3 linked regions of the Yarrowia lipolytica genome follow. The protein of the gene in region 1 interacts with the protein of each later gene in a pairwise test. Links are inferred from orthologs where the notes say so. Each region holds a gene or a part of one and is shown on either strand. Other genes may lie near its edges. The genes, in order: YALI1_A20849g, YALI1_E23348g and YALI1_D14915g.

What was found.
Region 2: the proteins of YALI1_A20849g (region 1) and YALI1_E23348g interact in binary tests that used the Saccharomyces cerevisiae proteins (3 or more experiments, as listed by UniProt). The link is inferred for Yarrowia lipolytica from reciprocal best matches to the Saccharomyces cerevisiae genes LSM4 and PAT1.
Region 3: the proteins of YALI1_A20849g (region 1) and YALI1_D14915g interact in a protein complementation assay, tested with the Saccharomyces cerevisiae proteins (2 studies listed by BioGRID). The link is inferred for Yarrowia lipolytica from reciprocal best matches to the Saccharomyces cerevisiae genes LSM4 and GIS2.

What each region holds. Positions count from the first base shown.
Region 1 is NC_090770.1:2,083,881-2,086,703, forward strand, and holds YALI1_A20849g (uncharacterized protein), read right to left. Parts: upstream 1,092-2,823; coding exon 1,089-1,091; intron 992-1,088; coding exon 605-991; downstream 1-604. Other genes in the region: YALI1_A20839g (uncharacterized protein), read right to left, coding at 1-13, 62-171; YALI1_A20855g (uncharacterized protein), read left to right, coding at 1,556-2,823. UniProt on the Saccharomyces cerevisiae protein: Component of LSm protein complexes, which are involved in RNA processing and may function in a chaperone-like manner. Component of the cytoplasmic LSM1-LSM7 complex which is involved in mRNA degradation by activating the decapping step.
Region 2 is NC_090774.1:2,332,782-2,337,953, reverse strand, and holds YALI1_E23348g (uncharacterized protein), read right to left. Parts: upstream 3,124-5,172; coding exon 568-3,123; downstream 1-567. Other genes in the region: YALI1_E23325g (uncharacterized protein), read right to left, coding at 4,676-5,172. UniProt on the Saccharomyces cerevisiae protein: Activator of decapping that functions as a general and active mechanism of translational repression and required for P-body formation. First decay factor recruited to mRNA, at a time when the mRNA is still associated with translation factors.
Region 3 is NC_090773.1:1,489,467-1,492,756, reverse strand, and holds YALI1_D14915g (uncharacterized protein), read right to left. Parts: upstream 1,215-3,290; coding exon 1,163-1,214; intron 1,051-1,162; coding exon 509-1,050; downstream 1-508. Other genes in the region: YALI1_D14910g (uncharacterized protein), read right to left, coding at 1,232-1,496, 1,555-1,715. UniProt on the Saccharomyces cerevisiae protein: May act in the sexual differentiation pathway.

The sequences.
Region 1 (2,823 bases):
TGGCGATAATGGACTGCAGTAAATAGCTACAGAATTCTGCTCCGAAACTCACTGAGTGTACAAGAATCGGTATTGGTGTTGTATGATGGTAGAAGGTAACCATTGTAATGCATCTACAAAGACTTTCAACGACGACGAGGATCCAACATCCAACTTTTTTATCACACACATGTTCCACGATAAGTTTCCTTCTATAGCTAGTCAGGCACCACCAATTACTACTTGTAAAATAGAATGGAACTCTCAACAGAAGCTACTTCCACGGGCACCTGTACTTGTACTGGTACAGTTCTGTCCACGTGATCACTTACATTCGAATGAGAACTTGTGGCGACACAGAGAAAGCAACCAAATCATCCAAGTACGTACAAAGCCTGTCCCCCTACGTAAGCCGATTGTACTCAATTCCATCACCGCCACTCGTCTACAGCTACTACTATCTCCACCTACAATCCCCTAGATCAATCATCTCCTAAAATACATTACTAATCGGCAGAATGGCGGCTATCAAGCGGAACTTCACACATGGTAGCCATCTGCAGATCGGGGAAGGTCGTGGCCTTCGGTAGCCAGCGCTCGCGTTCAAACATGGACACAAACACGTCTAATATCGTCGTCCTCCACCTCGCTGTCGCTGGTTGGGGTTGTTGCTCTGGTTGTTGTAGTTTCGGTTGCCTCGTCGGTTGCCAAACTGGCCGCCCTGCTCCAGCTGCTGCTGTCGCTGTCGCTGTTCCCGCTGCTGGCTGTATTGTTGCTTGATGCTGTGCAGTAGCTCGTCTGGCAGCTGGAGAGCCTTGATGTTGGAGCCTCGTACATAGTACTCGGACACGGTGGCGGTGTTTTCGCCCGATGCAGAAAACTCTTCGACCTCCTTGAGCGTGAGGTTCATCCAGTGGTCACATTTCAACAGGTGGCCTCTCAGGGACTCGCCCGATTTGAGCTCCACCAGCATGGGCTGACCCTGTGCTGCGTTGAGTAGGGATAAGGGTAGCTGCGTTAGTCATGGTCTGTCTGCCCACGGTTGGGCCGGTGCGTATCGCATCGAGAGGGGCCCACGTGAGCCCCAGGACGCCTGTATCAATACTCACCATCGATGTGGATTATGGTGACAGTTGGTGCTGGCGGTGAAAAAGCATATTTTGGGGCTAGGGTTGGGTGATGATGGTTTAGGTGTGTGCTTGTGGTGGGAACTATTACGTAACCTGAGCTGTAAGGACTCAGGTGCACACCAATTGGGAATTGCCGCAGGGATAAGACGATAATAGAAGTAAGGCGGAGCGCCAGGGGCAGGCCATACGAGATTTATATAGAGAAAAAAAAAAGCAACCCTCACACCCACGACATTCATTCTGTCACTGCCAAACAAGTATATATTTATATATCTCTAACCGCTGATCTGGCTCCCTCCCAGCTGGGACTCCAAATTACCCTCGCTACGATACTGCACACCCAGCCCACATACGGCTTTTCTCGTTGTCCAAAACAGCACATAGGGTAACTCGAAACCCGAAACCCATTATTGCGCCAACGCGACACGACGACGCACTACGCGACCATGTCCATCTACAAAGCAACGTATTCGGGCGTGCCCGTCTACGAGTTCCAGTGTAAGAATGTGGCCGTGATGCGGCGCAAATCCGACGGCTGGGTCAACGCTACCCACATCCTCAAGGTCGCTGGCTTCGACAAGCCTCAGCGAACGCGGATTCTGGAAAAGGAGGTCCAGAAGGGCGTCCATGAAAAGGTCCAGGGCGGCTACGGCAAGTACCAGGGCACGTGGGTCCCCCTGGAGCGGGCCAGAGAGATTGCCACGCTGTACGACGTTGATTCACACCTTGCGCCCATCTTCAACTACGACGACGAGGATGGCTCACCTCCTCCCGCACCGAAACACAGACCCAATCTGGAGCGCAAGAAGCGGACCAAGGTGACGGGATCGCCTCTGGTTCGCCAGCCCAGTCGCATGGAGACTCTCACCCAGTCAACGGGATCCACCATGGGAGGCACTCCACAACACTCTAGACAGTCGTCTCTCAGCCAACTGGCCCAGTCTTACGGACTGGACGACAGCGACCACGTGACTCCATCGCCTCCCACAGTTGCTGACGATTCGTCCGACTTCATGTCCGATGAAGAAGTTGACCGACAAATGGGTAACTACCCTCGACCCATGATGGCCAAGCCCAAGCCAATACAGGTACGGGACCCCAAGGATCTGTACACCAACGACCTGCTCAACTACTTCGTGTCTGCTGACGACGAGAAGATCCCCGCGTTCCTGGAAAACCCACCTGCAGAGTTTGATGTGCACAGACCCATTGACGAGGAGGGCCATACAGCGTTGCATTGGGCTTGTGCCATGGGCCACCTGCGGGTGATTGAGCTGCTGCTCAAGGCCGGATCGGACGTGCGAGCCACCAACATGTTTGGCCAGACACCTTTGACGAGGGCCATCATGTTTACTAACAACTACGACCGAAGAACCTTCCCTAAAGTGGTGGACATCTTGCAAGACACCCTGTTTCAGGTGGACGGCCAGGGCAGAACCGTGCTTCACCACATTGCCCAGCACGTGAGCAAGTCGCAGTCCGCGGCCAAGTACTACGTGACTATCTTGCTGTCAAAAATTAGCGAGAACCACTCTCTAGGCGTACTGTCACAATTCATGGACACGCAGAACAACGAGGGCGACACCGCCCTGCATATTCTCGCCCGTTCAGGTGCCAAAAAGGTGTCCCGTGCCCTCATGGACTTCAATGTCAAGACAGATATCGTCAATGCCGACGGTCGAACTGCGCTGGATCTGCTGGAGGGCGACAGACA
Region 2 (5,172 bases), on another chromosome or scaffold:
CGACTTGGAGAAGATGACGGATGAAGCTGCTGATTCCAGAGCTCAGAAGTTGACCAAACACCTCAGAAGTTGACAAACACTCTCAAAGTTGACAAACCTCAAGAAGTTGACAAAACACCTCAGAAGTTGCTGCTCCCTTTTCCTCGTGCTCATACCAGAGCATCCTGGGTCCCGTAGCCATCATCCGTCGACCTGGAGCGTAACCATCAGTGCTCTTCATGGACCTTGCCCAAAGATGTTTCGCTAGATCAAAGGCCAATACCATGTCAGCACTCTTCAAAATGCTCCCTAATGGATATCTTCGAAGCCTGGTTGACGACTCTGAATCTAGACTGGAAGAGTCTTGAGTTCGGGACCCCGGTTCCCAACCAGTTCCCACGCCAGTCCGGTACCTTCGTGCCGCCGTCTAGTTGTACTACCACTTCCACAATGTCTATCATGAACTTTTCCACTGAGCCCCTACGCAGTCTCGTCTCCTATCTATCTAACACGCTCACCACGGTCAAACGGTCAAATCATCTTTTTCTCAAAAATCCTATTTTACATAACCACTGCTCCCTCATCTAATCACCCCTGCAACTCACCAATCTCCGAAGTGGTCGCATTGAGACCCATGACGTTAAGGAACAGGTTCAGATTGTTAATCTTCTGCTGCGACAGATCTGGCGGAAGAGCCTTGGCCTCGTTCATAGTACCAAAGATCTTGTCCCGCACATCGTCAACCATAACACGTTGGTGATCAATCTTCGCAGCCAAGGCGATGGACGCCAGGAACTGCCACACGTAAGAATCGTCCACATTTCGAGGAGGGAACAGGGAGTTGAGATTGTTGCGCTGAACAATGCCGAAAACACGGTTGAAAATGCGGTTCCAGGTCTCCTCATCTTCGGCAGAAACAGAGCCCTCCTGGTTGATCAGCTCGGCCCGGGAAATCAAAACAGTCACAAATGCAGATCCAACCTTGGTCTTGACAACAGCAGCAGTGTCATTTCGATCCATCATCAACTCCAGCAGACCCACAATGACGCCGTACTCGGCCTCAGAAATGTACTGCACCAGAGGAGGAAGGACGGTCTGAGAGAAGACCTCAATGGCCTCCCGCGACTTGGCGGGCAGGTTCGACTCCTCGCCGCTGTAGTGGCCATTCTTGACCACGTCCAAATCGCCAATGTGGGCCATGATCATGGTCAGAATGGTGAGCCGCTGCTCGGCAGAAATATGCCGGAAAACTCGGGGAATGGCCTTCTTGCACTTGGCATGCGAGAGCATGGCAATGAAGGGGTGCAGCGAGCCGTCGGCCTGGTCGATGGGCGCAGTAATCTGCAGCTCACGCCACAGCTGGGTCACCAGCGCGTCTTTTTCTCCCTTCCACACCTGGAACTCGTCGGACAGGTCGTCTTCGGGCTGGGTTCTCTCTGCAGCCTCCAGACGTAGCAGCACAATGTACACGTTCTCAATGGCCCGCAGAATACCTCGCTTGTCGTTAGCAGACACGTACGAGCCGCCCTGAAGGTTGAACTTGGAGATTGACGTGGTGATGGATCGAATGGCATCGGTGGTGGTGGTGGTGGTGGCCACGGGGGTAGCAGATCGAAGTTCGGGGGTGGCAGAAACTCCCTCAGTAGGAGCCTCAGTAGAGTTGTCGGCGTCGGGAGTATCATCTCGTTTTCGCAGGTCGAGAGCCTGTCGAGGACCCTTGTTGCTGCCAAGGTGAATCTTACCGAGAGCACCCTGGGAGATAATGGAGTCCTTCTTGGGGTGGTCCTTGACAAACTGCACGGCCTTGTGGACCTGCTGCTGCAGACGTTGCAGGCCGTTCTCGTTGCCGCGGGCCCGTCGGCCCCGCTGACCCCGCTGGTACAGGTACGTTCGCGCAAAGGCGTCGAGCGGCTGGTTGGGGTTGGATCGCACGTTGATGGCCGAGTGCACCTGGTAGTAAAAGTCCTCGTTGTAAGGGTCCTCGGTGACCATCTGCTGGAGCTGGACTCGCAGCACAAAGTCCTTGTCACCGCCGGTCATGAGATTGTTGTGTGGCTTTCGCTTGCTGATCATCTCATTTCGCTTGGCCAGTCGCGCGTTCTCATCCATGGGAGGGATCGTGTGGTTGGGCGATACGTGCACGGGGCCGGGCTGGTAGCCGTAGGGACCCGAGTGGGGAGGGCCCTGGAAGCCCTGAGGAGCGGTAGGGATGGCCTTGTCCTCCTTGGGGCCCAGGGGCGCGGTAGGAGGGGCAGCTTGCTGCTGAGAAGCAGGCTGAGAAGCGACAGCGGGGGGCTGACCCTGAGTCTGAGCCTGGGGCTGCTGCTGCTGCTGCTGCTGCTGCTGAACCTGAACCTGGGGCTGACCCTGAGATTGTCCCTGGAACTGAGGCTGCTGGAACTGTCCCTGTCCCTGCTGCTGCTGCTGCTGCTGCTGGTAGTGCATCATCATCTGCATGTTGAGATCATGGTTGGGCAGGGGAGGGAACTGCCAGGGCTGCTGGTACTGCATGGGGTGTCCCTGGGGAGGAGGGTAACCAGGAGGGAAGCCCTGGTAGCCGTACCCGGGAGGAAAGTGGCCCTGAGGAGGAGCGTGACCCTGGGGAGGCACACCGTGTTGCTGCTGCTGCTGCTGCTGGCCCTGGGCCTGGGCCTGTCGACCCATCAGCTGCGCCTCAATCTGCTCCAGAGACAGAGGCTGCTGACCGCCCTGCTGGGCAGCAACATGCTGGTAGTGCTGCTGCTGCTGCAGGTGAGCCTGCTGGGCCTGCTGGCCGCCGTGCTGGGCCTCGTCGCCCATGATTCGCTCCTTCTGGTCGGGAGCGCCCCACAGAGACGCCATGGGCTGCAGAGAAGGGGGAGCTTGTCGCTGCTGATGCTGCTGCTGCTGGTGCTGCATCTGGGCGTGCTGAGGCGCCCGGCGTTCGTAGGCAACCTGGTCCTCGTCAATGGCGTACGAGATTTTGGCCGTTTCGCCGTGGAAGTCGAAATCCCGGCCCACAGACGCCTCGCCGCCAAACGTCTCGTCGTTGAAGGCGTCGCCAGACTCATCCAGCTGTCCGCCAAGATTGTCGTCGTACGTGTCGTCGAATTCGTACTCCTGCACGTTGCCCTGATTGGGCTGTGCGATACCGAAGAAAGACATGTCGAAGAGAGAGTCGAGAGTCTTGGTGTCGGTGTAGTGTACTGAGATGTGTAGAGGTGACAAGAGGACACTACTACGGTGCGATTTTGGGTTAGGGTAGGAGGGGGGGTAGGAGGATGTGGAAAGAAGGGTGCCTTTGTTGGGCGATTGAGAAGAGATAGCGAGAGAGGAGAAATTGGAGGTTCGAGAGAGTGGCAAAAATACCCAATAAATTTCTTTAACGGCGCAAAAAATCCTTCGGTTACCTGTTTATACTGACTGGCTAGATTTCCATGGCGGATCTGTCATACAAAATAAACTCTCAAACTTTGAGTGGCTCTGGCAAATTTGGGAGACGACTTACCCGGACGAGTCCATGAGTGAGTGGTGTTTTTTGTATTACATAATGCAAGTTTGATTTAGTTGAAAGAACAATTGAGAAAAAACGTGTGCTGGGGGTGCTATTTCGGGGTTACAGGAACCTGAGCAACGCTGAAAGTGGATTAAATGATAGGAAATGGCTCATTTTTTAACAAATGTGTAATAATATTGACAGTATGGGGTACAGAAAGACGTTTTTTGGTTAATATGTGGACAGATGGAGTTGACATTTACTTAGCTTCTAGAGTGAGTCCAGAAGAAGTAACCGACAGAATCGACAGAATCGACAAAAACATGTCGGAAGATGTTCAATATGGAATAACTAGCCTAGAGAGTGCTAGAGAGGAACTTTCTCATGTCGCATCTGTTACAACTGGTGAATAAGACATCGCAGATTGTCAGAGATGTGGACAGGAGGAACATTCGACATCTGAAGCACCTTTGGGCGACATCTGAAGCACCTTTTGGCGACATCTGAGCACCTTTGGCAACATCTTCAACATGTTGAGTAATATATCTGTTGCAGCTCCATCTGTCCCTCCACACAACAATGCCATGACTAAGAAGAGACTCTCAGGACTTGATTACTCATTGTTATAGCATCCGTCAATGGAATTAATCAGCCAATACAAAATCAATACTATCAACTCCTCCTTCCAGACACTTGCGCCATCTAAAGCCTCCAACAACCTCATGACTGGTTCTATCTCCACCACCAACCAACCACAACACCAAAACTTGACCAAATCAAGCAAACAGTTGACCAAAACAATCTCCTCAACACCAGCTACCAGTCCCTCGACATACTCCCGCCTTCCAACGACCAAAACGGCAGATATATTGTATTATTAGGCTCCTAGATGACGACCACATCTTATTCAACTAACAATGTCTCATATACAACCAGACGTTGTCGGAGATACGGGATAGTATCGATAGATCCATTTTTCTGCTCGGAAACCCCGAAAACGCTCGGTGGAGTCGCCGCGCAACTCTTCACTGTTGCAATACGTACAACATAAATTAGCTATTTAGTGTCATCAACAAGTAAGTAACCAGGACACACCTATTGACAGCAGGAGTTATCAATGTCAGCAGACAACACGAGTGTCACAATCCATTAACGTCCGCCACCAACAGGTGTGCTTGGAAAAGAAAAAATCTGTCACGCAAACCTTGGTCATGGCTCAGCTTAACTTCTCTTCTTCACCTTGACCTTCTCCTGGTCGAGATGGTGCTTGGGAATCCAGCTCTCATCGTAGCCCTTGGGTCCAGTCTTGACGCCGGAGCCAGCAGGAACCACAGGCTTGGCTCGAACGGGCTTCTTCTCCTGTCCGTAGGTGCCGGTAGCGTATGGGATGGCGTACACGTTAACAACGTAGTATCCCAGAGCAGCGGCGGTGATTCCCAGCACAATCTGGGCAAACAGGAACTTGAAAGACAGAGGAGAAACATAGGGGTCGACAATCGACACGGGGCCGTCAAAGGCGTGCACCTGGTACACCTCGTTGCCGTACTGGATGTAGACCTGGATGACGTTTCGGTAGACCTTGGCATCGAGGTTGGTCTCGAACTGGTGGGTCAGGGCCGCGGTCTTGCCGCTGTCGACCTTGATGGGTCCCACCTGGGTGCCCTGGACGCTGACCACCACCTTGTCGGTCTTGAGGTCGTAGAAGGTGCCTCCCACGG
Region 3 (3,290 bases), on another chromosome or scaffold:
TACAACATGAGCTCAAGCCTTTAGAATTTCTCAGACACCCCAGGACTTGATCCCTGATCAGCAAAAGACTGGCTTGAATGTGTTCCAACCATTTATGACTACAAGTAGTGTACCATGACCCATCTTTCTCACGAACGGTACCAACTGGACATACAAGTACCACCATGTGCAATAGGGGAAACCCATCCCATCGCACACATCCAGGTGGTGCTCAACTAGTAACACAGAAATCAGGGCTATTCGTACCTCGTGCATCTCTGATCTGTTTGATCCTCGGCCAATCCGTTCTCTCGGGCTTCGAACGCTTCCCGTGGTTTCAAATCGCATGTCTCTGTATCTCATTATTGTTGCCTGGTTTGGATCGTTGTACATGGTTTCAAGTATTCTACGCTTCTCACTGACACTCACTCGCATCACTCGCACCACCAGCTATCGCTCGTGATGGTGATGACTACACCCCCTACTCTATTACACTTCAATCAGTCATATCTATAATACATAACTCTGCTTAAGCAGCTCGGACCTCATCGCACTTGATGGCAATGTGGCCGGGCTTCTTGCAGTTGTAGCACACTCGGCTCTGGGCCTCGCCGCACTCCTTGGAAACATGGCCCATGGAGCCACAGTTGTAGCACTTCTGGCCAACGGTGCAGTCCTTGGACAGGTGACCCTGGCCGCCACAAGAATAGCAAGACTGGGTTCGGCCAAATTTGGGAGGAGCACCGCCGGCGGGGACGCTTCGGCAAGCTCGGGCAAAGTGGCCAGGCTTGCCACACTTGTAGCAGACACCGGAGGGGCCTCGAGGAGCGCCAAACTCGCCACCAATGGGGGCCTCACCGTTGGGGGCAACGGGGGCAGCACCGTCGTGGACAATGGCATCGTTCTGGGGGCACTCCTTGAGGATGTGACCGGGCTGGTTGCACTTGAAGCAAGCCTTCTCCTTGGGCTCCTCAGTGCAGTCTCGGGACATGTGGCCGTCGTTGCCACAGTTGTAGCAAACGGGGTTGCCCACACGGGGGCAAGCTCGCACCTGGTGACCGAATTCACCGCCTGGATGGTTAGTAAAGTTGAAAAAAAACACATGTGACATAATCTCCAGGTGATATCACCCGACAACATGACGTGGGTCTGCTCATTGTCACCACAAAATCAAAACACTCACAGTTGAAGCATGTTCGAGAGTATCCTCGGAATTGCTGGGCCTGTCCTTCCATTTTCTTCTTCTTCGTCTTCACACAACAAACGTCGTCAAGAAATCAAGACTCGCTTCTCTAAAAAATTTCAAACCTTGGGCCTCACACTGCACTGTAGGGTAAGTGAAGGCTAAATGGGCTTGCGGGGTGTAGGAGGCTGCGAGAGCTGCAGAAAGAGGACAAGAGTGGTGTGAGTGGTTAGATGCTTTGAGTGAAGACCCCTGAGGACGCAAAGAAAAGCGCCACTTAGACACGTTTTTCTCACCATGCTCATGAATATCCAATCTAAGCCTGCAGGATTCACTGGGGCATTAACAAGAATCAGGAAAAATTGGGTTCGGGACTTTTTAGCTGCATTTACAGAAGCCTAATCGAAGAGCTGAAGATCAGTGAGGAGGTACAGGCTGTGCGGCTGATGACATGATCTTGTGATGCAAGAGACATCAAACTTACTAAGCGCATCGACAGCATGTATGGTGGGTGGATGTGGGTAATCCTGTAGACGAACGTCCAATGCCCCATCTGGGTAGTTGTAGAAACGTCTGGGTATCGATGGAAAATATCGTAGTGTGGTTATCGAGCTGTTCTTGGGGGTAGGGATTGTTCATTTGTCTAGTCGTTGGTCAAGGGACAGCCGAGGTACTTGCTGGTACTCTGGGATATTGTGGACGGTGTGGGATCAATCAGGAGCGCTTCGATGTCGGCATATTGGTATCGCGTTGGTACATACTTGAACTGTAGTAATCGTTGAAAGAGATGAGGATATCACTATATTCCCCTGGTATCAAAGTGGGGTGAGGGAGGGAGGGGAGGTGAGCACTGTGGGATGAAACTGGGTTATTCTCTTATTTGCGACTTTTATCCGAAGCTCTGATAGTGGATAGATAGCATTGGCATTATCTTGATGAGTATCGCCGAGTTGTCGAAAGATGAGATAGAACGAGATAGTCGGAAATTACAGCACCGGTGACGTAGCAAAAGATGATTCGCTCATCATTGGGGAATTGTCTTCATCGTGTCTTCTGTGTCTGAGTGTTGGTAACTGGGTGTGTTGTGCAATGACCGTACTCCACCACCATGTCGTTTGTCCGTGTTGTCCATACTATCTGTATTTGTGTCTCTGTGTCTCGTCGGTTTGTGTCTGCGTCTATGCCCGTGTCTGTATCTGTGTCTGTGTCCGTGTCTGTGTGTGCCTCCGTATCGTGGTGTCCACCGTGTATCGTATACCATGTCGTTTGCTGATGACAGATTATATATTGGGATAACACTACACACCTTGGTGGACTTCTAGGTTTAGGAAGCACCGTGGTGGTTATTGGATGTAAAATGGATGGAGCAACGAGGCGATAACAAGTACAGGACGGTTACGGGGGACGAGAGTGGTTTGAATGATTTCTGGGAATCCTCTCACATGGTATGGTTTGATAGGTTTCTTCAAAAAAACTAGCAACCCCAATATATTATGTTACTCTTGAGTAGGTGTGCTACAGGTTGTGGTCTAGTACAAGTACAGTAGTTGACTTTGTTGGAAGTTTAGTTAAGAGAACTGCCTGTTGGGGTTGTCTAACGGATGCAAGCAGTCCATGGTAATTAGACGTATATTTACATGTCTCTGACAGTTGTAGAAATATATTGAACAAAAAAATAAAAGGAAATCAAGCTGTTTTTACCCCTACAACAAACTAATACCAACACCCCCATGTTGTTAAATTTAGTTAAAACCTCAACTAAAGTTCACACTCCCAAACCAACCCACGCTAGAAAAATCCTGACCCACATACAGCAAAAGTCGCGTGGGCGCAGTCCATACCGCCGGTACTGGTGTCTTCGTGAAAAGGGAAGCCAAAAAAAATATATTTGCCTTCGACCAGATTTGAACTGATGATCTCAGCATTACTAGTGCTGCGCCTTACCACTTGGCCACGAAGGCGGTTTTTAGCGTTTCGAAATCTGTAGCCTGCACCCCCCGGACGTGGAGTTACAGGTTATGAGTAGAAAATAAGACGTAAATGTGATTCCTGATGGGTCTTATAAACACATATATATGTCAACAGCTGTTTTAACGTGTATAAGATTCCATATCACGTGTCTAAGTTG